Caenorhabditis elegans: one gene and its partners. The protein of the gene in region 4 interacts with the protein of the main gene of each other region in a pairwise test. Each region holds a gene or a part of one and is shown on either strand. Other genes may lie near its edges. The genes, in order: C50F4.1, Y56A3A.7, C54E10.6 and ifb-2.

Region 1 (6,416 bases), on a different chromosome or scaffold from region 4:
AGCAAAAATCATTTGAACTCTGAAGAATCATAACTTTTTCAGAATCAAATGAGAAAACCTCGTGACAATGTTGAATTCCGTGGAACCGTTCGATATGCTTCATTGAATTGTCATCAACTGCAAGAACTGAATAGAAAAGATGATTTAGAATCAGCTTTCTACGTTATCGTTGAAATGATCACTGGACAACTTCCATGGAAAGGTCTTCCAGATGGTGCTGCAGTTGCACGAGTCAAGCAACAAAGTCGTCACCCATCAGCAATCGCTCTTTTCTTGAGAGCACCTTGTCCGATGGAAGAACTTCGTGAAGTGATGATTCTCATTGATTCCTACAATTATTTCACAGCTCCCGATTATGTTAATATCTGCAACGTATGGTTTTATTTACAATTGTTAAGCATTGTTTCTGTAAAATCCTAATATTTTAGATTCTCCGTCGGGCAATGCGCAGAAGTCCTCAACCGGAACATCCTTATGATTGGGAACAGGGAGGAACTAATTCACTTGGAGACGTGTAACTACATCCTCTCGATATTCTCGAATAAAGATTGTGACAATTACTATACATTCAAATACTCTGAAAAGATTTTATTTTCAAAGAAATGTGCGAATTTATGGTGTGATATTTTTCTATCATTAATTTCTTGATCAACTGCCAAAAGATGTTTGGATACAAACATCTCTTCAAAATCTGCTATAGATGTACCAAGTGCTGAAACTCTTCATCTGAAACTTTCGGATGCTGCATTTTTTGTTCTATTTTCAACATATTTTCAATATAATTATTTACAATATTATTTACAATAAGCATTTTATTGTAAACCGTACGCTGAGTAGCCCCAAGTTTCTAAAACATATATCAGATCTTGAATAACGAGATGTCTGACAACTGATGATTCATGAACTACCCACATAACATTATCTCCTCCCGCCTGACCTAACTGTCCTGTTAACAAACTTTCGTTCCTATTTATTCTTCTTGTTTCTATCCCTCTTATTCAGTGTATTGTATTTATGATCTATTATGTGTACATTTTTCTTTTTTCTTCAACTTTTTCCACGTCTCTTCGCGAGCGTAAATAAATAAATTAAGTAATTAATATCTATTTACAATATAATTTATAAATAGTATATTGCTATTTATATATTGTAATATGAACATCTTCTTACATAATTTAATTTGAAAGAAATGTTCTGATTTTCTCGAAGACACCCAATCCCTTTTTTAAGCAAGCTTCAAGTGTTTTCTCACACGTCATACATTTATTATTTTGTCGTCCGTATATCTACGTTGTCAAGAGATGCATCTTTCCGTTCTTGTATTGAAGATTTATTCATTCGTCACCAAGAAAAAACGACCAATCTTTATTTTTGAATTCGGTCATTTATTCTCGATTCTTTGAAAAAAAAAGCAAATACGTTATCTTATTCTTCAATCATCATTCTCTTTTTGTGAGAGAAATGGGTGCTCATTATCCGAAATGTAGTTTCCAGTCAAGAAATCTACAGTATCATTCAACGCTGTCTCCCATCGACGTGCAGCATCTTGTTTGACGTCATCCGAACCTTCACTCAGTGTAAAAAGTAGAGACTCGATTCTGGAAATGATTAGAAATTTTATTTAATGGGACTAGTGTTCTGAAAATTTGGGGCAACCTAAAATGCCTTGAAAAATTATTTTCTTGAAAATCCGGTAAAACACTATTTTATAAAAAATATCAAAAGTACGACAACTTTTTGGTCTTTTAAAACATTTGAAAATTTGAAACCTAAACTCACCCATTGATTAGAACTGTAGGTTGATATTCCTGGAACCATCTTTTCAAATCATGCAGTTGATACTTTGGTGGGTAATAGTCAACAAGTGCATAAAAATAGACTTGAAATATCTAAAATTAAAACAAATTACATCAAAAACATCTGGTGCTCTGCCGTTCCCATAAGACTCTCGAACCCACTTTCATGAACTTTTTTCGTCGAATGTCGACATCTGCAGATGAAACAATCAAATTTGCTAAATCCTCCACTGGATTTCCAAGATGAATGTTCTAAATTAATTAGGTTTTCGTTGTTGAAAGATCAAAAGTAAAAATTATAGTAGAACGCAGTTTTTTCTATTTTAAAAATAATTACGTACTTCCCATTCTGTGATCTCTACCAAATTCCCATCCTCATCAAATCTGCAAATCTCAGCTGTCAATCTTCCATGTGCGATAACATTATGTTTTTCCTTTTCATCTGCATCTTCATCTTTCCAATCTTCCAAGTAATGAGTCAAAATTCCAACTTTTTCAATAACTGAGGATGGATTCATGAAGTAGTCTGCAACTTCTGTAGTAGTTACTGCTGTTTCCAACACTTCAATCAATTCTTTTTGAATTTTCTTTTTGAATGATATGATGTTTCCATAATTTTCTTGCACATTGAGTGAGAATTGTTTATTGATAGTTTTTGAGTTGACAGCGTGTAACTTTGCAATCTGTGAGGCAACTTGTTCCAATTCTGGTAATCCCAATTTGGTACGAACACTTCCTTTCTTCAAAAATTGAGTAACATAGACAGAATGTTTGTTTTCATCTTCCGTCACAACAAACGATCGATTAAAATGTGCACTTGGAATAGGAATCTTCTCAAACGTTGATATCTCATGCCAGAAAAGTGAATTGTAGTAGGCGGCAAGCTTGCTTCCTTCCTCTAGTTTCACTATAACATCTTGATCATCTCTCACCAAATGCACTCGGAAGAGGCCCTCCGCTGTCTAAAACCAGAAAACGATGATATTCTAGAAGGGCGGGAGAAAGAAATTGGCCTCATTCAAAGGTCATTCAGTATCACATTTTGGCACATTTCTTTCGAATTTGGAACAATTTCGTAGAAAGTTTAAATCTAATCCTAATACTATACTTCCAATATTTTAATTATTTTTTTTTGTTTCAACCGTATTGAGTTCAATTTTGAAAAACTTGTTTATTTAACAATATTTCCGTTTTCTTATCAGTAAAACAGGCAGTTAAAAATTTCCACAAAAAACGTCATTAGAAAATGAAACGACTTGAACGAAATTTCCTTATAACCGGAATAATCTTTGTGCTCATTTAACTCCCAATATAATACACTCCATCCAAAAACACAAACATGAAGTATTAATTTTAAAGAGGTAATATGGAATTAAAAAACATGAAAGCTTTGTACGAAGACAAAACATTGGAAAGTAATTCGTACTAGCACCTTTAAAAGTGAAGTTCAAAGATAATTTCACAAGCAACATTTTCGAAAATTTTTGAAATTAAACATTAAAAATTGTCTAAAAATATCTTAATCTAGCGTTGACGGTTTTTTCTAATCGTTGAAAATAATAGTCAGATTAAGAGAGTCGACAATGTAACGTATACGATTTTGGCATCATATTTGCAATATTTAAAAAATTTGCAAAATCCTTTTAAAATTTGAGCCATTAAAAAAACTAACAGTAATAGGAGTTACAATAATTTTATAGTACTTGATATCTGTAGTACATTTAAATTTTGAGTTAAAAGTTTTTGAGATTTTTGCAATGCCCTCAAATAGTTCCTATTGGTTTAATATATGAGTTTTCAACTATGAACTAATTTATAAAGTTACCTCTAACTCCACGGTTGTGACACCATTGATAGTGACAGTAGGATTAAGTTCTTTAACTCGAGACAATCCAAGTTCCTTTGCAATTAATGCAGTGATGAACATAATAACTTCTCTGTGAATCAACCAACAATGCCAACACTGATATGTCCTTCTTCTGAAAATGCAAAGAAAAAAGGGAGGAGAGGGAGCAGGTGGACGAGGTCTTGTTATCAGTGATAAAAAATGCGGGAGAAAAAAGCGAAGAGAATCGAAACTAATGACACTGTCCCGTTTATGACTTTGATGATGGGCGACGACAATACTTGCATATTTTGTGTTTCGTAGAGCAAATAACATTTGCAAACACATTTTATAGCAATGAAAAAGAAGAGGGAGTGAGTCACGAGCTGAAATTTTGAACGAAGATCATAGGTGGTAGGTACTTTGCTAATGTGGTAACCATTTGAAACTGATATTTATCCGAAAATTATGAAGTGGGCGGCACAATTCTGGACGTAGGATATCGGATATCAAACTAGTGGGTGGCTGAAATGAAGACGAATTTAAAATTTAAAGTTCACGTTCGAAGACATATAGGACATCTGCCAAGTTGGCACTACATGTATCACATTAAGTTTTCAGAAAAATTGCGATATTTTCTCTCTAGGCTTGCTTCATGTAATCGAGTTTGAAATCTTCTTTCATATTTGTTTCTGGTTTCAATCTTACTGGCTAATATTATTATCAAATCAGTAATAATTTGGCGAATTTTGAGCTAGGTTTATATTCAATTTATACTGGAATAATTATTTTGAATCGTAATGTTGTTTGTGTAACGGTTTGTAAGCTTATAATTTGGAAAATCCTTGAAATTTTTCGTTGGGTAAATCCGCGCTAATTTTTTACCCCGCGCAAAAAAGTTCAAAAGTTCAGAATTGAGGCCTTTCCATTTTACATGTGATTTCCTAAACTCTAAAAATAATTCCAAAATTAATTTTAAGGAAATTTGAAAACAATAACCTCAGGACACATTTAAATTATTGTTTTCATCCGTATAGAATTGAAAAAAATCATTTTCATAAATACCTATTTTCGAATTAACGTTTTGTTTTCGTGCGTACTTTAATGTTCTTTCAATAGCCCATTTCATCCTTGCTCCGGTTGAGTTGACGAACGCCTTCAAAATGAGCCATAATTGAGAGCATTACTTTTTGATGCATTTTATTTTCCATTAAATGTTGTTTCTCTTTTTGTTGCGTTGTGCAGAACAATAAAAATACAAAACAATAATTTAACTTTCGATCCAATTAAAATTATTTTTTTTAGAAAACCAAAAATATTGATTCGATATAACGCTGTCTTAAAAAAAAATCTTATGAACAAAAACTTCATCTGAATTTCTTTTTCGTATTGTTTTGTTAAGAAACTGAAAAAAAGTTGTTTTTTTCCAAATCGAGGCAACTCTTGTTTTATCAATATCAGTTCATAATCTCTTCCCTTTTGTAAGTGGTAAATAAGAGTTTCTGTTTGTTTTATAGTATTAAATCACTCATAAATTGATACTAAGTAATCTTCCTTTAAAACTATTTTTGATGCCGCATTGAATATTTTTTATTCTGAATATTTCAGAAAAAAAGTTGCCATCTAAAAATATATCTAGTATTTTTAGGAACTTTAAGAAGTGCGACTTTGAAATGTGAATGATTTCAGACTTATCATGAAAAAGTGCTTAACTCGGTAGAATTTCCAGCCTGTTAATCAAAAAGTCACGCATCATTTGACCCATCCGATTGTTTGATTTTAGCCACTCCCTTTCTAGCATTTTAAAAATGCTTCATGACACTCAACTGACTCAATACGTCAACCCATTTCCTTCTCCTCCCACTCAACAAGTCAAAACAATTTTTGTGCATCACGAACAACCACCTCCTTGTTTGGTAACATCATGACGTTTGAAATGCTTTCACCTTTACAAATTTGCATGACACTCTCTTTGAATACTTTGGGTGTTTAAACCTAAACAGCTTATATTCTTTGAGAAGGCATCAATTGGTCATTCTTCAAATTCCTTGCTCCTCTAAGCATTGTTTCCTGTTGCAAAAACCGTGAGCAGCAGAATACAGTTAATGTTTTATTTGATAAAATTATTGCAGTCTAATTATTTCTTTATCAAAATTACTATTTGAAAAATTACTACAAAATTACTATCCTGTTTTTAGAATAATTATCATTTGGTAGTTACAAAACAATCAATAATTCTTTTTTCAATTATATTGGTTGTAATTGAACTGATGTATTATCCGAACAAATAAATAAATCTTAGGTTATAACTAAAAATATACTAAACCAACATTTTTTTGAAGTACAGATACTACATAAGTTCTATATAAACTAAAATAAAGACTACGTATAATTGTACTTTAATCGAAAATGTGTTCATCTTCAGTATACGTTCAACTATAGTTTTAGTTTTTATACGTTCCTCTATGTTCCGCCCATTACTCTCGAAGTCTTAAAAGTTTTTTAATCTTTGTCTCCGTACATATATCCTTATATCTCAGCGTGGGTGGAGATATTTGGATATTCTTCTCAAGAATCACCAACAAAGATTAATTTCCTTTTTGTTCTTTTTAAGAAATGTCAGCTCCCCTCAGTTCCTTATTGACATTGAATTATGACCTTACATTTTTGCACCTTCAGCCATAATTTTTATTCTTTCAGCCTTTGTATATAATTTCGCTATTGGTTTAAAATCATTTACTTTACAGATGAAACTTCTCGTGTTGTGCATTCTTATCACAATATCTTCATCGCTT
Region 2 (6,306 bases), on a different chromosome or scaffold from region 4:
TTTTTGCATTTCGTGAAATTTTTTTTTCAAATTCCAAAATTTCTCATTTCTATCAGTTTTAATGAACATCAAATTAAGAGCAAGCACTTTTTATTCAAAAAATCGAATTTTTTAAAATTTTTACCATTTTATTTTTGTGAAAAAATCGAAATTTTTTAGGCGCGGATTGAGGCGAGAGGCAGGCGTAGGTAGCATCAAGGTCAGGCAGGCAGCCAGGCAGGCAGGCGTTTAAACGCGCCTATACAGGCGCCAGGCGAAAGCACTAAGAGGGGATTTTAGAAAATTTTAAATTTTGCCAATTTTTTCGAAAAAATTCCAAAATTTTTGTAAAAAAAAAGGTTTTTTTTTAAATGAAAATTGGTCAAAATATAGGCTATTTTCGGTTTTTTTTTAAAGTTTGGAACTAAAAAAAACTAAAGATTTTTGTAATTTTGTCAACATTTTGGTATTTATTAGATTTTAAGTACAGTTTCAAAAAATGAATTATTTAGATTAAAAATAATTTCTGGATTTTTTTCAAAATTTTTGGTTTTTTTTGGATTTTTTCAGAATTTTATGAAATTTTTTGGGGATTAAAAACAATTTCTGGATTTTTTTTTTCAAAAATTTTGATTTTTTTTGGAGTTCTTTCAGAATTTTTGGTATTTTTTTGGAATTTACTTTCAAAATTTAGGGGTTTTTTCGAAATTTTTGGATTAAAAAAATACAATTTTAGAATAACAGGATTTTTTTCAGAATTTTTTGAACTAAAAAACAACGATTTTCAAAAGTTTAAAACAAAATTTTTAGGATTTTTTTTTTCAAAAATTTTTGGATTAAAAATACAATTTCTGGATTTTTTTTTAAAGGATTTTTTCAGAACTTTTAGGAATTTTTTTAAAATGAAATTAAGGAATTTTTCTTTGATTTTTTTTGGATTAAAAAACAATTTTTGGAACTTTTTTTTTTAATTTTTGGTTTTTTTTTCAATTTTTTGGACCAAAAAACAACGATTATCAAATTTTTCAAACAAAATTTTTAAAATTTTTTGTCAAAAATTTTTGGATTAAAATTGCAATTTTGGAGTTTTTTGTGGATTTCTTTCATAATTTTTTGAATTTAAAAATTAATTTTTGGAACTTTTGGAATTTTTTTTGATTAAAAAAGAGTTTTGGATTTTTTTCAAAATTTTTGGGATTTTTTATGGATTTTTTATGAAATTTTTTGGATTAAAACGTTCTGGATTTTTTTCAAAAATTTTGGTTTTGTTCGGGATTTTTTACGAATTTTTAGGAATTTTTAAAAGGAAATTAAGGAATTTTTCTTTTCTTTTTTTTGGTTAAAAAAAACAATTTTCGGAATTTTTCTCAAAATTTTTGGGGGTTTTTTAAAAACAAAATTTTCAGAATTTTTGGTTTTTTTTTGGATTTTTTAAAGAATTTTTTTGGAATTTTTTGGAATTGTTTTTGGATTTTTTTTGGATAAAAAACCCATTTTTGGAACTTTTTCAAAATGTTTGGGATTTTTAAAATATATTTTTTGGGATTTTTTTGGAAGAATGTACAACGATTTTTGTAATTTTCTTCCAAAATGAATGGTTTTTTTTTGGAATGTTTTCAAAAATTTTTGCACTAAAAACAACGATTTTTCTATTTTTCCTAGCTTTTTTCATTTTTAAGGTCTAAAATCAAAATTAATGCTAACTTCTCCATTTCTTTCTTAATATTCTCTCGAATTTCCTCTCTTCTCTTCTCCTTTTCCTCATCATTCAAATCAGGCTTCTCCTGAGTCTCCACAATCACTGGAACACGTTGATTATCATCTAAAAGAGCTTCTTCTGCTGCCGGATCGATTTCTCGATTCTCATCAGTTCCCAGTTGAAGTCCTAGTTGAAGACACTGCTTCTGGAGCTCTTTGAGCTCTTTTTCTTGCTTTGTAGTCGTTTTTTTGAGGGCCGCCACTGGAAAAATATATAATTTTTTATTGAAAATTGGAAATTTTTTCCTAAAAAAGAAAAAAAACGCAATTTTGAGAAAAAAATTTTTTTTTCGAAAATTCGGAATTTGTTTTAGAATTTTGTATGAGCCCATGTTCCTTTAAAACTCGTGTAGATTTACGCAGGCCGCGTGTACTCCACGTGGACAACTTTGAATTTTTTTTTTCAACATTTTGAGCAATTTTTCGAAAAATATAGTTTTTGGAAATTTTGAAAAATCAAAAAAAAGTTTTTAAAAAAATTTTAAGATTTTAAAAACTGTGTTATTTTCCGGAAAATCGAATTTTTCGGAATTTTTTTTTTGAAAAATCTGAAAATTTTTAACTTCTGAAAATCCTGTATAAATCACTGTCTCCTTAAAATTCGTGTAGATTTACGGAGGCCGCGTGTACTCCACGTGGACAAGTTTGAACTATTTTTTTTCAACATTTTGAGCAATTTTTCGAAAAATACAATTTTTTTGTTTGAAAAAAATTTGAAAAATCGAGAAAATATTTTTTTCAAAATTTTAAGATTTTAAAAATTGTGTTTTTATTTTGTTTTTAGCTAAAAAGTAAAAAAAATAGCCAAAATTTTAAATTTTTTCCGAAAAAATTTCTTTTATTGAAAAATCTGAAAACTTTCAACTTTTTAAAATCCTGTATAAATCACTGTCTCTTTAAAACTCGTGTAGATTTACGCAGGCTGCGTGTACTCCACGTGGACAAGTTTGACGTTTTTTTTTTTTCAGTTTTCTGCTAAAATGCTTGATTTTTCACCATTTTTCGCAGTTTTTTTTTTGCAAAAAAAATTCGTTTTTCGTAACCAATTTGGTGAAAATTATTACTTTTATTAATTCTCTCCATAACCTCGGCTCGAACTTTCGTCGCTACGTCATCCAAATCCTTTGCCTTTTTGGCGCGAACCTCCATCATAGCGCTCTTCTGAATTGGAATAATATTGATTTTTTGCTCAAAATTCTTTTTTTTTTTTTGCTCAAATTTCCACCAAAACAAACCTTCCTCTTCGTCAACTGAAGCCTCTCGACGAGCTTCTCGTTCAGCTCAGACGCCGCCACCGCGGCCTCGGAGACTTGTTTTAGCTCGAGCAGCGCTTCCTGAAGCTCAGCGATAACCTCACTGTTCGCCTGCTCTTCTGGAGTCTTTTCCGCATTTTCGTCTTCTTCCGTGGCGTCTTCCTCCTGTTTCTCCTTCTGTTCTTTCAGTTTTTGAGCGTCGTCCTCGATTTTTTTCTCGAAATCTTTGGCGATATCGAGGGTGGCTTGTTCGTGAATTCCCTGGAAAAATTTTTTTCATCAAAAACCCCGGAAAACTGGAAAAAAATTCACTTTTATTCATCAATTGTTTAAAAAATAATAAAATAAAGTTTGTCTGAGAGGACTACACTGCGCGGGGGACTAGAAACCCACCTAGTCCCCCACGCCGTGTACTCCTCCTGGACAATCGAACAAAATTATTTTTAATGGAAAATTGTGATTTTTCTCGATTTTTTAAACGAAAATTTGTCGAAAAAAGCAAACTCACGACAATAGTCTTCAAAATATCCATATACTGAGCTTCTTGTGCCGAAATCGAGTCAAACGCGGCCAAAAGTAGCTTCATATCTTCTTTTACAGACTGGAAAATTCAAATTTTCAGTTTAAAAATAAAATATTTCGCACCTCATTCTCCTGTGGCTTTCCGACTCCTAATTCGCGGAGAGCTTGCGCGATTTCAGCCTTTTTGCCACGAATATCCTCGATGGATTGCATGATTTTCTTGCGTCGGGATATCTGGAATTGAGGAAAAAAAAAGTATAATTTCAGCAAATTTCAGCTGTTTAGAATACCAAATTATCATCCATTACTTGTGGAAGTTCGACGGAGCTCATGATTGGATCTGGAAAAATTAAAAGTTAAAAATTAAAAATGAAAAATTGAAATTTGAAATTTTGCAGTTTAAAAAAATCCAAATATAGTCTGAAATTCAGAAAAACCAGAATAGAAGAACGAAAAAATCGGAAAAAAAAACTAGATTTTTCAATTTTGGCTAAATTCCCTCCAAAATGAGAACTGCGACCAATCAGCGATTCGCTCCGCCCATTTTTAAACCAATCAGATGAAGTAGGCGGAGTTTGAAGTTCTTATTTTGAAGTGATTTTAGCCAAAATTGGAAAAAATCGCGTGGGCTTAAACTTAGTTTCAGGCTTAGGCTTAGGCATACACTTAGACTTAGGCTTAAGCTTAGGCGTAGACTTAGATTTAGGCTTAGGCTTAGGCCTAGGCTAAGGATTAAGTTAAAGCTTAGGCGGGGGAAAATAAATTCTCGGAAATTCGAAAAACTCCGGAAAAATTGGAAATTCCGAAGTCGGGTCAAAAAAACTAATAAAAATGGCCGAAAAGGGACTAAAAAATACAAAATTAAAAAAAATAGTGTAAAAATATTTGACAGGAGCTCCAAGAATCAAAAATGTTCAGCAGCTCGCCAAAATTCGAAAAGTACACACACACACACACAAAACTAAGCACACTGAAATAGAATGTCAATAGAAGAGGCGAAACATACACACACACGGACACACTATACTTCCACAATTGATCGAACCGTAGGCGACGACTGTACGGACGGAAAACCTATGCCTCTCTTTCTCTCACCGCACTGTACAATCTCTCGGCCGAAATTAGTCAGGCAAAAAGTTGGCGGGGTGATTCATAGCGGAGGAAGGCAACGCCCTATTTGGGTTGGTGTGGAACGGGGGGAGGGGAAGGTCCTCCGAGAGGTAATAGATATGGATTGAATTGAATATTGAATTAGGGGTGTTGATTTTAACGAGAGCCACTGATACCGAGAGTGTAATTAGAAATAAAATTCTATTAAATTGCCTCAAAATTACAAAATGATCTCTAAATCTGAAAACTTGTGTCTGAAAATTATGTGCTAATGGGTTTATTCAAGTAATGTTGCAAAATGTATTAAAATACATGTATTTTATGTATTTATTACAATTGATACGGTATTTTTCTACACTTTTTAATTTTTCGACACTATTTCGGTAACCCCATAAATCCTGTTGATTTTGCATGCAGCGACACACTTTTTTATCAGTAGCATTTCATATATTTAATCCTTTTTTTTAAGTTAGGCTAGTCGTTAGCCAAAAATTGTCAAAAAAAAATCACACCGGTCGTGGTCGCTCAAATTTTAGCTCAAAAAGTGGCAACCTTAATACAAAAAAAAAAAAACTAATGTCACTGATTTTAGTTCAATTTTATCCTGAATTTCTTGAATAAAAATGAAAGAAACACGATGAAATGTTTTCTTTCATTAAGTTTCTGATTGAGAACAACAATTTTATAAAAATTGTTTAATTTGTCCGGCTAATCCGGCAAATTTGCCGCAAAAATTCTATAGTTCCCTAAAAGTTCGACGACATTTTCTAAACTACTACTAACTATAGTCTTAAACGCCACACTATCTATTAAAGGTCAGTGTTATTAGTTTTAATGATACGAAATTTATACTCATTTCGTTCTATAAGCAGAACTACACCTGATTATGAGGAATACAATGATAAGAAATTCAAATTTTTTTTGCGTTATACATAGGAAATAAATAGGCTTGTATATTTTTTTCAGCTTTGCACCAAAAAAAATTTAGAGTGACTGAATCATGTTTTAACTCCCGTTCTAATGAAAAATGTGAAGACCAGGCATTTAAGTTGTCGGGAACTTAGAAAAAATAAACGAATAAGCAGAATTTCCAACAAAAAAAAACGATCAGGAATTTAAAATTATTTTTGGTTTTGGCCGGAGATTCCGGAAACGAGGTTCGCACGTGTCTCATTTCGGCTTGATCTACATAAAGCTAAAAAAAATGCGGGAGTTGTGAGGCAGAGTTCTCAACTGATTTCGCATGGTTAAGAACGTGTTGACGTCACATTTTTTGGGCGAAAAATTCCCGCATTTTTTGTAGATCAAACCGTGATGGGACAGCCTGGCAACACACACGGGGTGTCAGAAAGTCTCATTGCGGTTTGATCTACAAAAAATGCGGGAACTTTTTCCCAGAAAATTTGTGACGTAAGCACACTGTTAACCATGCGAAATCAGTTGAGATGTCTACGTCTCACCTCCCACATTTTTCGTAGATCAAAGCGAAAAGGGGCCGTCTGACTCCACGTGAACACATGGGTTCAAAAAATTCCACAATCTCAGAGGTGTTGAAAGAAGCGCAAATGAGCAACTCCAATTCACTCTTCCCATTCTATTATTTACACTCTTCCCCCGCCCGCTCATTTGACTGTCCTCCTCCAGAAGAAGATAACAACTCCTTTCTTCCCAAATTCCTTCTCCA
Region 3 (4,665 bases), on a different chromosome or scaffold from region 4:
TTTAAATTTTTAAAATTTTTAACCTCCTTGGGCCTATTTTTTATACTATGATCCTCCTAAATCCCCTTACCTGCATGTAACAAAGACAATACTTATAGCCCTGCATTCCTGGGGACTGAAACCAAACCATATAAAATCCCAAAACATTCATTGGAATCGAAATTGCACCAATTACATGTAAGGTAGGCATATAATAGGCAGGCAATGTTTCAGGACATGGTGCCGGCATTTTTTTGCTGAAAATTTTTGGGAATTTCTTGGAGAAATTTGACAAAAAACTGCAAGATTTGAAAAAAATGTGACTGGAGTTCAGTGATCTGGTTCATGATTTTTTTTTTCGTTTTTTTTTTTCAATTTTTTCACCTGCAAAATTTGTATATTTGTATAATTTTCTTTAAAAAAACTTCACCTGTTTTCGCCGGCAGAACCAATTTTCTCGTGAAAATTTGATTTGCTGATCCCGGGTGAATAGCTTAAAATTTAGATTCTCAGACTACTTGTAGAAAATTGTAAGTTTGAATTTTGAACCTCTCACAGAGAAAAACCTATACTCAATACTTAAAACTTGGAAAATATAAAAATTTTAGTTTTTTTTTTTTGGAAAAAAGTCACTTTTCCATTCAAAATGGTAGTTTTAAACAAAAAAATTTGAATTCACCGCCTATAAAAACCTATATACCCTTCTCGGGGTCGAGCCCTGACCTTTTGCGCCAAAAGCAAGCCTCTTATCCACTGCGCCATGCAGCAGGCGCGCGCGGTACACTTATGGCGCAGTGGGTAAGAGGCTTGCTTTTGGCGCAGAAGGCCGCGGGTTCGAGTCCCAGAGAGTGGCTACAGGTTTTTCTAGGCGAAAAATTTGAATTTTTGGGTTTTAAATTGCCTAAAACTTAATGGAACAGTGAAATTCATAAAATCCACGAAATTATTTTGCAAGTTATTTTTGGAATTTATGTGTTTTTCTCAAAACACTCAGGCTTCTACAAATAATTTCAAATAAAAACCATAAAAATTAGGCCAAACCCTGGTAAACTCGAGAATTTCGATCTTCAAGTAGATTTTTTTCAATTTTAAAGTTGAAAATTCAATTTTCACGCCTAGAAAAACCTATATACCCTTCCGGGGGTTCGAACCTGTCCCCTATTGCTCTATAGCCAAACCGTTTACCCACTGCGCCATGCAGCTTGCGCGCGCGGTGCTCTTACAGCGCAGTGGGTAAGAGGCTTGTTTTTGGCGCAGATGGTCGGGGGTTCGGATCCACGAGAGTGACAATAGGTTTTTCTAGGCGAGAAATCTGAATTTTTAGATCTCAAAGTTTTTAAAGCTTATTTTTGAACTGAATTTTGACAAAAGGTGTTTAATTTTTCGGTTTTTTGGATGGAAAAATGTTAAGGTAATATGTTGTTGTTGCTTTTCATTAACTTCTCCGAATTCTCACGGAAGCAATTTTCATTTACATTTCATTTCCAAGTATCAAAGTTTGAGAATTTTTATTTATTCCAGTAACTTTAGGTATCTAAAACTTTGAAAACTCAATGATAAGTCTTTCAAATTTCAAAAACTGTTGAAAAAATGTAGTTCCGCGATTTTTAAAAATTATGCTCAAATGGCTCAGTGGGATTTTCGACGACTACCAATCTGAAGGCCGGGGTTCGAGTCCGCACTGTGGCACAATTTTTTTCTGTGTTTTTTTTTAAATTTGTCTTTGGTATATCTACTCTCCTAAACTCGAATTTCATAGTCGCAAGCTCTGAAAATGTTCGGTTTTTGTTGAAACTGAAAAAATTGAAATATGCAAAATAAATATTTATAGTCAAAAAAAAAGTAAATTTTCAATCTTTTCTCTGGAAAATCGTTCTAATATTGTGTGTCTTCCTTTTCTTATTGTCCGCTCTCAAATCGTCCAGCAGTTTTTTGATAGTCTCTTTCTGTTTTGAGAGCTCATTGAGCACATGTGTGAATTCTGACTCCATTTCATCGTTGGGTGGTGCTGGAATTTTTTTTGATTCAAATGTTCTGATGAAGAATAGGAAAAAAAATAAAAATTGTAAATTTTTCAAACATTTTTTTTTTCGAAATTTCAAAAAAAAATTTTTTTTTTGATCAAAATTTTCAAAATTTTAATTTTTAGAAAAAAGTTTAAAATCATCCATTTTCAGTCTATTTTAACCCATTTCTTTTCAAAAATTGCTCAAAAACTCACATTTCAGGCTGCCAGCTTCTTCCTTTTTCATGCTCTTCACTTTTTCAGCTTTCTCCACAATTTCAGGCTTCTCCTGCTCCTCTGTGACGTCATCAGATTTAATTTTTTTAGTTGCTGGCTCCATATCTTCCTCTGCATCTTTTTCGTTTTCATGTGCACGTTTTATGGAGATTTCAGACATTTTTGGGCTGAAAATACAGGAAGTTTTGTGAAAATCCAGCAAAATTCTGGCGAAAACTCGTCAAATTTTCAGTAAATCAATACAAAAGTGAGGAATGAGCACTCTGCGGACAGCAGATGGCTTGGGATTCAGCCTCCGAGGGAGAGAGTTAGAGAGCATGCGGAGACGCAGACGGTGCGAGACGGGGAGAAGTGCAACACAGCCGTTGGTGTCAGCTGGTGGCTTGGTTCGGAAGGAGAACTAATTTATTTACGGGAAATTAAATTTATGGTTGTGAAGACCCAAAGATTGGTGGAATTTAAATGAAAAGTTCGAAAAAAAAATCAGCAAACCCGATTTCGTGTCGATTTTCAGAGTTTTAAACTAAAAAATTCAAAAATCTCGTCTAGAAAAACCTGTAAACCAGTTCGGGGCTCGAACCTGTGACCTATTTCACCGAAGTCAAGCCACCTACCCACTGCGCCACATGGGAACCGCGTGGCAAAAGTGGCGCACCGCGCGCCTGCCAGCATGGCTCAGTGGGTAAGCGGCTCGTCTCTGGAAAAATAGGTCGCAGGTTCGAACCCCGGTTGGGGTATACAGGTTTTTCTAGGTGAGAAATTCGAATTTTTGAATTTGAAATTGCCAAACTCAACGCAAAACCTCGTTTTTTGGAAAATTAAAAGTTAAAAAAAAACCAAATTTTCCGCATTTTTTGCTGCACATCACTTTTCTCAAAAAAAAATTTGTTTTTTGCTTTCTTTTAGTTAAAAATTTGTCATTTTCCCATGTAACTCGAAAATATAGCCAGAGAAAAGAAAATAATGTGTGAAACCCCCCGGAAGCTGAAATTGTCACGTTTTTCTGGAAACTTCTTGTCAGGCTTCCGATATTTTTCTAGGATTATTATGCAGCATAGGCTAAAAGAGCGAAAATCTCAGAATTTTTTTTTTTTTCCAAAAAAAAAATTGGATTTCTTTGTGTTCTTTGTGTGGTTTTTAAGTGGAAAATTAGATTTTCAGGAAGGGAAATTGCATAAAAATTGGAGTTAGCATATTTTTGTGGGTTTTTAAGCAAAAATCCTGAAATTAAAAAAAAATTGAATTTTCAAATTTTCCAAAAAAAATTTTTTTCGAAATTTTCAAAATTTCCAGAATTTTTTTTTTTCGCAATCTTTAGAAAAAATGTATTTTTTTTGTTTGAATAAAAGCTATATTTACGTCATTTTTAAGCCACCAAAGCAGCAAAAAATGTGTATAATTGCGTGTTAGCTTATTATTTGTTACTTTTTAGGAATAATTCATGTTTCCTAATTTTTCCCACCGAGCACATTCAATTTCCTGCATTTTCCAGATTTTTAGCACAGCTGTTTATGAAAATTGAGAAAAATTTTGCGAAAAAATTAAAAATTCCCACTAATCCCTTTGTTTTTCACTTTCAAGCACTCTTCCGGATATTTTTCAGTTTTTTCCTAGTTTTCAAGCATTGGTGTACATTTGACTATTTTTCTAAAATATGAAAACTAAAATTGACTTCAAAAATTCTTTTTTTTAGAAAAAAAGAAGAAATAATGGCTAAAAACTCCAATTTTCAGCTCACAAGCCATGAAAATTCCAAATTCTTACCTAGAAAAAACTAAACAGCCTACCTGAGAATCGAACCAGTGACCTATTTTTCCATAGCCAAGCCTCTTACTCACTTAGCCATGCGTGCGCGCGCGCAATTCCGGAGAAGTAGCCAGGAAGGAAGGGGTTGACGCAGTGGATAACAGGCTTGCCTTTGGGGAAATAGGTCACAGGTTCAAACCCCTGCTAGGGTATATATTTTTTTCTAAGTGAGAAAGTAAAAAACGCTGAGTAAAAAAATTCATTGAAAAAAATTATTTGCAAATATGAAGGTTTTGCAGAGATCATAACATTTAGTTCGATTTGCATATTGTAAAAAAATTGTTGAAACTGTCAAAAGTATACAGTTTTAACTCAAAATTCCACCTTCCACGTGGATTTTCTAAGTTTAAAAGTAAACAATTCGATTTCTCCGCCTAAAAAAATATATGTACCCCCGATGGGATTCGAACCTGTGGCCTATTTTACCAAAGGTAAGCCTCTTAGCCACTGCGCCATGCTGCTAGGCGCGCGCTGCGCCTTTTTTGCCACGCGATTCCCATATGGCGCAGTAGGTAAGTGGCTTGGCTTTGGTGAAATAGGGCACAGGTTCGACCCCCTGATAGGGTATATAGGTTTTTCTAGGCAAGGAATTCGAATTTTCTAATCACAAATCTTGATTTACAGCCACAAATTCAGTT
Region 4 (7,716 bases):
CTGCTAACAGAACCCTTCCGGGCGCGAGTCGAAATAATGCTTGAGTGCCACATTGGTACTTTTATGGGTGTTGAAGATTCTCTGCTCGTGGACACGGGTCATATTTGAAAACGACTAGTATTCAGATGGAGTGAGGTCTGGAGAATACGGTGCGTGAAGGAGTACCATTCAACCATGGCTGGTCTGTTCCTACTATACTTGTTTCGAGAGATGGGGACTAGCATTGTTTTGCTGAAAATAGAGTTGCTTGTACTTCAAGGGTTAACGATCGATGACTTTCTTCAGGTTTCATGGTTAGATAACGTAGATGTCCCCACAAATTATTTTACCCTCAGGTAGCAGTTCCCAGTAGATGGGGCCGTACACTCCCCACCTCACTGAGAGCATGCCTTTTTTGGGGTGAAGGTCGGGTTTGGCGGCATCCTGTGGTGTCTCTCCTTCTCCAATCCACTGAGCACGCTTGTGGTTGTTAACGTAGAGGACCCACTTCTCGTTACCAGTAATGAGCCGGCCCAACCATTGATCGGCCCCGTGGAAAATGAGGAGGGAAAAGGAATCACCCACTAAAAAATAAAGGTTCGCTTGTGTCAAAATGTGAGGTATGAATCGACCCATACGTTTCTTTATTCCAAGAGGTTCCCAGCCTCGTACAATGTTGGTTTGACGGGGCTCAAGTGTGGTTGACAGCTCACGGGTGGTTTGGAAAGGATCCGTTGCCACGGCTTTCTGCAACGTGTCCAAATCCAATTTATGGGGTCTCAGAGTCTTCGAGAGAAAATTCGTCCTTCTCGAAGCTTTGGAACCAATTGCGTTTGATATTATTGTAGAGGACATGTGAATCATAAACATTCTTGAGGAGACTTTCCGAATCCTTCATCGTGGTATGAGAGAGAAAGAGGTACATCAAACCATATCGGATGTGGATCGCACTAGGGACATACATCGTTGGTTAACTAACTTCAGCCCAGAGGGAAGGGAATGAGGTGTTGCTTACAATGCAAACCCAGTTATAAAGACTTCCGGTCCAACCTAATATTAAGAACGTTTAACTGGTAGAAAAGTTTCATTATTTCATACAAAAGCGCATCCACCTGGTTCTGCCGTTCGAATTTGGTATTATAGTTCTGGATTGCATTTTCCCTTAGTGCTGAAAAATATATGTACAGCTTGCAACGTGTTCAATCATTTCCAAAAATTCTGTAGAATGTATTTTAATGTAGTCTCAGTCAAGAGCGAGTCACGACAACTCGGTTCAAAACCACTCCTAATTTTAATTATTATTACTATTATAAAAAACCTTCGAAAACCATAACTAAATGGCTTAAAACAATTGTCGAAAAAAAAAGCGAAAAAAATTTTTTTTAGAAATGGTTTTAGACCGAGTTATCGTGACCCACTTTTGACCAAGAAATTTTTTTTGGGAAGTATCGTGATAAGTACACTTCTTTTAATCATCAATGATTTTGAACTAAAACAATATTGAACAATTTATTTCAAAAAACAATTGGATTGGAATGTAGCAAGTATGTACGTCGAATGATTTTGGGAGTGAAGACAGCAAGGAAAGGATTCAATGGGCATTTCAGAATAAATTTAAATTCATCGAAAAAGAAATCGATTAGATGATGGAGATTTCTTAACGGGAAGAAGCGACCGTCGTCTGGATGTGCGAAGCCTTCTCAATTCCGTGACTATTGTACAAGAATGTTTCAACTTGTCCTCCTTGTCCCCATGATGGGTGAGATTCCATCACAATTGAGTCTGGTGGTGAGTTAATTCCTCCTGAATTGCGTCCGTAGATCTGTAATATTCCGGTTTCAATATGATATCTAATTTTATAATAATTAATACCTTAAGATGTCCGTGTTGTTGAATAACTAAGTGAGATGGGAGACGGAAAACGAAGGCTTGAACTCCATCAATAACACGACGGATTTCAAAGTTGCTTACATCTTCGGCCTGCAATTTTCCAATTTTTCATGTTCAAAATAAAAATAAAGATCTAAACTCACAACTGATCCACTGGTGTTTTCAAGAATGATGTACTTTCCTTGTGGATCGCACTCAACGATGCTCACATTTCCCTTAGCGTGTCTCTTGAATGAGGAACGAGTTTGAACCTCTCCAGAGTCCCAGTGATCTTGCTCGACTGGTACCAATCTGTAGAATTTAATATAACAATTTAAAATTAACGGGGATAGATTAAGCTGAAAGTGCATGTTTTCAGCTAAAAGCCTTGAGATTTGCTGACTAACAAAAATTGTTAGCCAAGAAAATGATAAATAGGTGATGTGAAAAGTAAGCAGTGTGTTGAGATAAGGAAGTGCGTGAAAAAGAGAAAAAGTGCAAGTGAAAGAGCATGAATTGTGAAAGCAATTAGCTATAAACTACTGTATCACTACGAGTAACCTTTGATCTGAAACTAGTACATTGGTACCTCTGCCAATTTGATGTTGAGATGATCTATGAAAACTATACTATGAATAACTAATCTACAATCTAGGATACCTTAAAGTTCCTTGCGGATACACTCTGAAAGGTATTACATATAATATATCTTGATTCTATTAAAGATTCCTACTCAGGATATTGCTGATATTGATGACTGTCAGAGTATTGCTGATCATTTAAAACAACGGGAGTGGAATCCCCTTCTGTTCTGGAAGTCAACTAGGAAATAAAACTAGATTCTAAATATCTACGTGTGCAGTATGTTAATGTCTATGAAGCGGTTATAGCTACCGAACCTTGTAGTCTCCTGCTGGGCGACAACGACCCCCTGTCCAACATGAGTGAATCTGTGAAAGTAAGGAAATGATAAAATGGAAGAATGAGACAATCAATTAAAGTATATGTTGCTCTTTTTGAGAGATATTTTTGTTACTTATATTACCTTCCTTCCTCGGACTCGACAAGCTTTCTGTAGATGGCAATCTCAGTATCCAAAGTTTGTTTGGTGTTAAGAAGAGCTTGAAGTTCAGCAATCAAAGTCTGGCAGTCTTCACGCATAAATCGGAGGGCATTGTCTCTCTTGTGAAGCTCTGATTCGTAAGCTCTTTGATCTTCTCCGAGTTGAATCTGGAGTGTGTTGGCTTCTCTCTCCAAAGCAGAGTTACGGGCTTCGAGCTCGCTGAGCTTGGCTCGCAATGTGGTGATGCTCTCGTTCATCTTTCTGATCTCCTCTTGACGGAAAACGGCAGCCTCGTTCTTGGAGACGATTGATGATTCGACGGCGCTAATCTTGCTCTGGAAGATTGTCTCAAGATCAACTCTGGTGGTTTGGATGATCTTGTCGTATTCAGCCTTGATTTCTCTGAAATAATTTAAATTAGACAATAAAACTATATCATTTTTTTTGAATCCAACCTGATAGCAAGAGCCAATTCATTCTTGAAGAACTCTCTTGTGTCGGCTGGAGCTTGAGCAAGAAGAGTGCGAAGCTCAGTGATTTCTTGAGAGTGGATTCTTCCCAAGAATTCCAGCTCAATCTTGAGGTCATCTTCCTCAGCTTGAAGGCGGCGGCGATCAACAATTGCGGCGTCAAGCTCATCCTTGGCGGCAGCCAATTGAAGATAGAGTTGATCTTGTTCAGCATAAAGTCTCTTTTCCTCGTCCAAAATGGCGGCATAGCGGGACTTGTTTGTGTCAAGCTCAGCTTGTGCTTGTGAAATAGCTCCTCCCCAAGTGGTCTTCTCACGCTCAACTTCACGACGGGCCTCTTCATATCTGAAATATTTGCCATTAGAATGGAATATGCAAATAAATTGTTACCTGTGTCTGTAGTCATTCAAATCATCTCTCAATCTGTCGACCTTAACTTCAACTCCAATAGTTCCAGAATGAGCTTCTGAGATCTCACGGCGAACTTTGACCAACGAATCGTTGAATTTGAACTACAAAACGTTGAGTTTATTATTCTGATGCAACATTATTAACCCCTCAAGATCAATTTCAATTAATTTTATTGGCAATCTTAACACACACATACACACCCATTTCCTCCAGAGCACTACTTGTCATCTTATCAGTGCCATTTTCAGTTTCTCTTTTAAATTCCTTACGCCTGCACATTTGGCAACGGGCGCTTTGTTTGAGAAGAATTGATATTATCTGATAAGAGAGAAATTGTGTCAACAACTAAAAGTGTTTCAGATTCTCCTGTAATTTCGGGGCACAAACCTTGATCTGTCCGATGTCATTTCCAAGTGATCCTCGGAGGGTGTCCAATTCAATCACAAGCTCCTTGTTACGATCCTCAAGTTGACGGACACGGCTGATGTAAACTTCAAGGCGAGAGTTCAACTGCTGCATCTCTTGCTTCTCGCGCTCGGCAGAGGCAACGAACTCCTCAGCGGCATGGCCGGCTGAGACACCTGAAATATTATGTAAACTGTGTTCCGATGTTTAAGCAGTGCTCCAAGAAGGACCATATTTTTTATTGTTATAAACTAAATTTTGTGAAAGTGTCTTATTGTGAAGGGTTTGGAAAAAGCAATACAAACTCATTTTTTAAAAATTAATTTAGTACGAATATGTAAAACAAAAGTCTGAATAAACCTCTGTTTTCCAAATTTTTTCACAATATTAAAATAGAAATTTTAAAAAATAGAGTTAGTTACAGCTAATGTTGTACTTTGAGATTTAAGATATACAATTTTCCGTGTTATATACCGTTTTTCCTATTAGTCTTGCACTCCCACTGCTTCATTTTGACAGCTCATATTAATTGTTGTAGGCTTCATCAAAATTGTTTAATTATAACAATGTAGAGTGATTTTAGTGTTGAAAATTATTTGATGAAATAATAACAATCGAGATATGATTTGTCAAAGTAATGCAAAGCAGGAGCAGAGTAAATTGGTTAAATGTGGCATATTTATTCTTTTTTTTTCACAATTTGGGCTAGCAATCAGAAAATTCCTACTTATAAGAGTGATCTATCTTGTCATAAACAATCTGATTTTTCACTGAAAAGTATTATATGCTACCATCTAGGAACAGGCCATTTTGCAGTTTGTCCCTACGCTGCAGTTCTCGTCTCAATTCTTTATTGATATCGTGAATTAAAAGTTAAGATCGAGTTTAATTTGTCGAAACTTATGGTTTTATTTAAACATCAGTTATTTTAACTTAAGCCCATAATCTAGAGAAACTGCTAGGATTAGTCGGCAATGTGTGAAAGGAGTTCACAACGGTGTCAATAAAGCCGACAAAGAGATTTGAAACAAAGAAAAAGATTGAGACAATGGAGGAGATCAATTTCAGACAAACTAGTGTCACCATATTATGGATTCCTCGGAGAAAACTCTCGAGGTCGTGTGACTGTTGGAAATTTGAAGAAAAGTGCTTACCTCCGTGTGATGAGGAGGATGTAGTTGTGGTGGTTCTGTGCATCGAATAACTAACCGCCGACATGATGAAGTCGCTAAAATTTTGAAAATAAAACAAAAGATGTTAATAACAAAAGAAGATAAAAATAAATAGAATAAGAAAACAATGTTATTTTCACACTTTCAGCAGTTAAAAAACCAACACCAATAATAAACGTTCAATCTTCAAAAAAATAAAGAGTCTTAACACCAAACCGTACAAAACGCGGAGTAGTAGGTTTGATTTTACAATGGCATTTTGAGAGAGCAAAGAAAGAGGGTTATCAGTTGGCAATGCTCGATTCCACTCTCTTTTATGGTGACTTATCAGTCCGAGTTTAGAGATGGAAAACGGAGGGGAGGGGGTGAAAAGAAGAAAAAAAGAAACTACTCTTTCTTACATTCTTTGTATTTATGAAACAAAATGACATTTGACTGGGAATGATGAGGAAGTTGACATTTGAAAAAAGGTGTTAAGAACCGCAAAGTCTGAAACTTTTTACTAGAAACTATGACGAATGAAATGTTAATAAGGTTACAACAGAACATAATCGGCAACAATGGAATATTTCAGAACTGAAACATTTTGTCTTCTAGATTCCTTTCAATTTAATTTTTAAGGATTTACAAATTTATCTGGATTTAATTGACAGAATATTTTCGCTTGTATTGTCATATTCAAAAATGTTTAATTTTAAAAATTCTAGAATTTTGAAGATGTGAAGGTTCAATCAAAATCTCTTCATCAATTCAATTCTCTCTTAAACTGTAATTCAAAAGCTACAAGTATTTCCTGAAAAAACTTTGTTTACTCTTGTTGTCTACTGAACTTGAGGTGTCTTATCTTAAAAAGACCATCTGTGTTATTTTTCACAAAAAAACAGCTACAGTAATTCCTTAAAAGTTCATCGCAATAATTTGATAACAACAAAATAGGTGAATCTTGCAACAGTGAACGAATTCCCTTGTAGGCACAAAAAACTCGAAGGTTACCTACGCGCTGTCTTGTACCTCTAGATTTTGTGCCAAATTGCAGACGAATATAACTAGGTAGGTAGGAAGACCTACCTACCGGCGGAGCGTAACTTTTCAAGTGTTCTGGTTAACATTTTATTCTGATTAAAGAGTTTTGTGAGTCATAAAACCCTTGCTAAAAAGTTCTTAAAAATTGTGCATTTTCGAAATTGAAAAAGCATCGAATTGAAACTATGATTGGAATTCCAAAATAATTCGAAACATCGCTTTAATTATTTAACCTTTAAAAAACTAAAAATCAACCACACCTCTTCTTTTTCAAATATTAAAGTCCGCGAGCTGCTAATCAGCATGAATTGGAATTTTGAAATTTTTGGAAATACAGTGTTTTGTTTTTTTAATACAATTCTTCCGTTTATGCTTCTTTCTCATTTTTGTGGTCAATTACTTTATAAAATTAGCCAAAGTATGAATACCAAAAAACAGGATGTTTAAAGAATTTTGCTTTTGGTATTCTCTACAACTCCATACATCTTGCTCAGTCCTCACGACTAGTCTTTGTACTTTCATTCAAACTTCATTTATCGTGTTCTTCATTTCGCATATTCTCTAACATTTGTTTACAGATGTGTGGCAGGCTTGGTTGGAACTGATAAAACAGCGTACTCCAATTCCTAGTAGAGCTCAAGTTTCCTTATCGTTTTTAACCGATAAAACGCGGACGCAAAAACGAAGACATTTTTGTGTTTTTGAGTGGAATGGAATGTGGTCTAAATGAGGGAGAAATGGCATTGAGTCATTAAAAATGACAGATGATGAGGGAAGGAAGCATATAACTTATGGAACCTTCCTAGGGGGAGTAAATGACTCAGAGTTCGTTTAATCTGAAAACATATTAGGAGAGAACTAACATTCTATAGTGATGAAGGGCTGAATAAACGTTACAGTAATGATTCTGGCCAAGTGTGCGTTGAATCAGAGTCTTGCAACATTTTTGGAGCTAGTTAGGCAACTATAATGGATAACACGATTTCCCTATGGAAGCTTTTTGACATTTCAAACGGAACTTTCAAAAATCTTAAACAGTTTTGAAAAGTATAGGTAAATCATTCAACCTCGTACAACTCGTTTCTCCAAAAATGATAACAGAAGTACTCTGATGTATGTTGGTGTAACTTTCAAAATTGTAGATCATGTTCAAATTTAAAATAAAAATAGAACCTGTTATTTTGGAGAAACTCAAGAATTTGAAGTTTACCGCAAACTTCTTGCCCCTCAACCACACTAATACCCTAGTCTTATTCAAACTTCCAGTACTCTTCTAAAAAATTTTGCAAACACCTGACTCACTAGTTACAGTAATCATACAGTA

Evidence for each region.
Region 1: the proteins of ifb-2 (region 4) and C50F4.1 interact in a two-hybrid assay, tested with the Caenorhabditis elegans proteins (one large-scale study listed by BioGRID).
Region 2: the proteins of ifb-2 (region 4) and Y56A3A.7 interact in a two-hybrid assay, tested with the Caenorhabditis elegans proteins (one large-scale study listed by BioGRID).
Region 3: the proteins of ifb-2 (region 4) and C54E10.6 interact in a two-hybrid assay, tested with the Caenorhabditis elegans proteins (one large-scale study listed by BioGRID).

The regions. Positions count from the first base shown.
Region 1 is NC_003283.11:9,524,152-9,530,567, reverse strand, and holds C50F4.1 (CHK kinase-like domain-containing protein), read right to left. Parts: upstream 3,776-6,416; 5' UTR 3,724-3,775; coding exon 3,622-3,723; intron 2,759-3,621; coding exon 2,138-2,758; intron 2,049-2,137; coding exon 1,959-2,048; intron 1,890-1,958; coding exon 1,780-1,889; intron 1,599-1,779; coding exon 1,433-1,598; 3' UTR 1,318-1,432; downstream 1-1,317. Other genes in the region: C50F4.10 (non-specific serine/threonine protein kinase), read left to right, coding at 43-372, 429-518; C50F4.9 (Cocaine- and amphetamine-regulated transcript protein), read left to right, coding at 6,369-6,416.
Region 2 is NC_003281.10:11,943,166-11,949,471, forward strand, and holds the start of Y56A3A.7 (Homeobox protein cut-like), read right to left. Parts: upstream 3,855-6,306; 5' UTR 3,845-3,854; coding exon 3,803-3,844; intron 3,747-3,802; coding exon 3,636-3,746; intron 3,592-3,635; coding exon 3,499-3,591; intron 3,252-3,498; coding exon 2,973-3,251; intron 2,899-2,972; coding exon 2,802-2,898; intron 1,940-2,801; coding exon 1,684-1,939; intron 1-1,683.
Region 3 is NC_003283.11:18,806,281-18,810,945, forward strand, and holds C54E10.6 (Protein MNN4-like), read right to left. Parts: upstream 2,450-4,665; 5' UTR 2,382-2,449; coding exon 2,201-2,381; intron 1,988-2,200; coding exon 1,830-1,987; 3' UTR 1,789-1,829; downstream 1-1,788. Other genes in the region: sri-10 (G protein-coupled receptor), read right to left, coding at 71-229.
Region 4 is NC_003280.10:5,747,899-5,755,614, reverse strand, and holds ifb-2 (Intermediate filament protein ifb-2), read right to left. Parts: upstream 5,416-7,716; coding exon 5,352-5,415; intron 4,374-5,351; coding exon 4,180-4,373; intron 3,894-4,179; coding exon 3,772-3,893; intron 3,727-3,771; coding exon 3,367-3,726; intron 3,314-3,366; coding exon 2,894-3,313; intron 2,799-2,893; coding exon 2,748-2,798; intron 2,660-2,747; coding exon 2,582-2,659; intron 2,533-2,581; coding exon 2,509-2,532; intron 2,161-2,508; coding exon 2,013-2,160; intron 1,960-2,012; coding exon 1,852-1,959; intron 1,802-1,851; coding exon 1,637-1,801; downstream 1-1,636. Other genes in the region: F10C1.8 (LTD domain-containing protein), read right to left, coding at 1,092-1,135. UniProt on the Caenorhabditis elegans protein: Cytoplasmic intermediate filaments provide mechanical strength to cells. Not essential protein.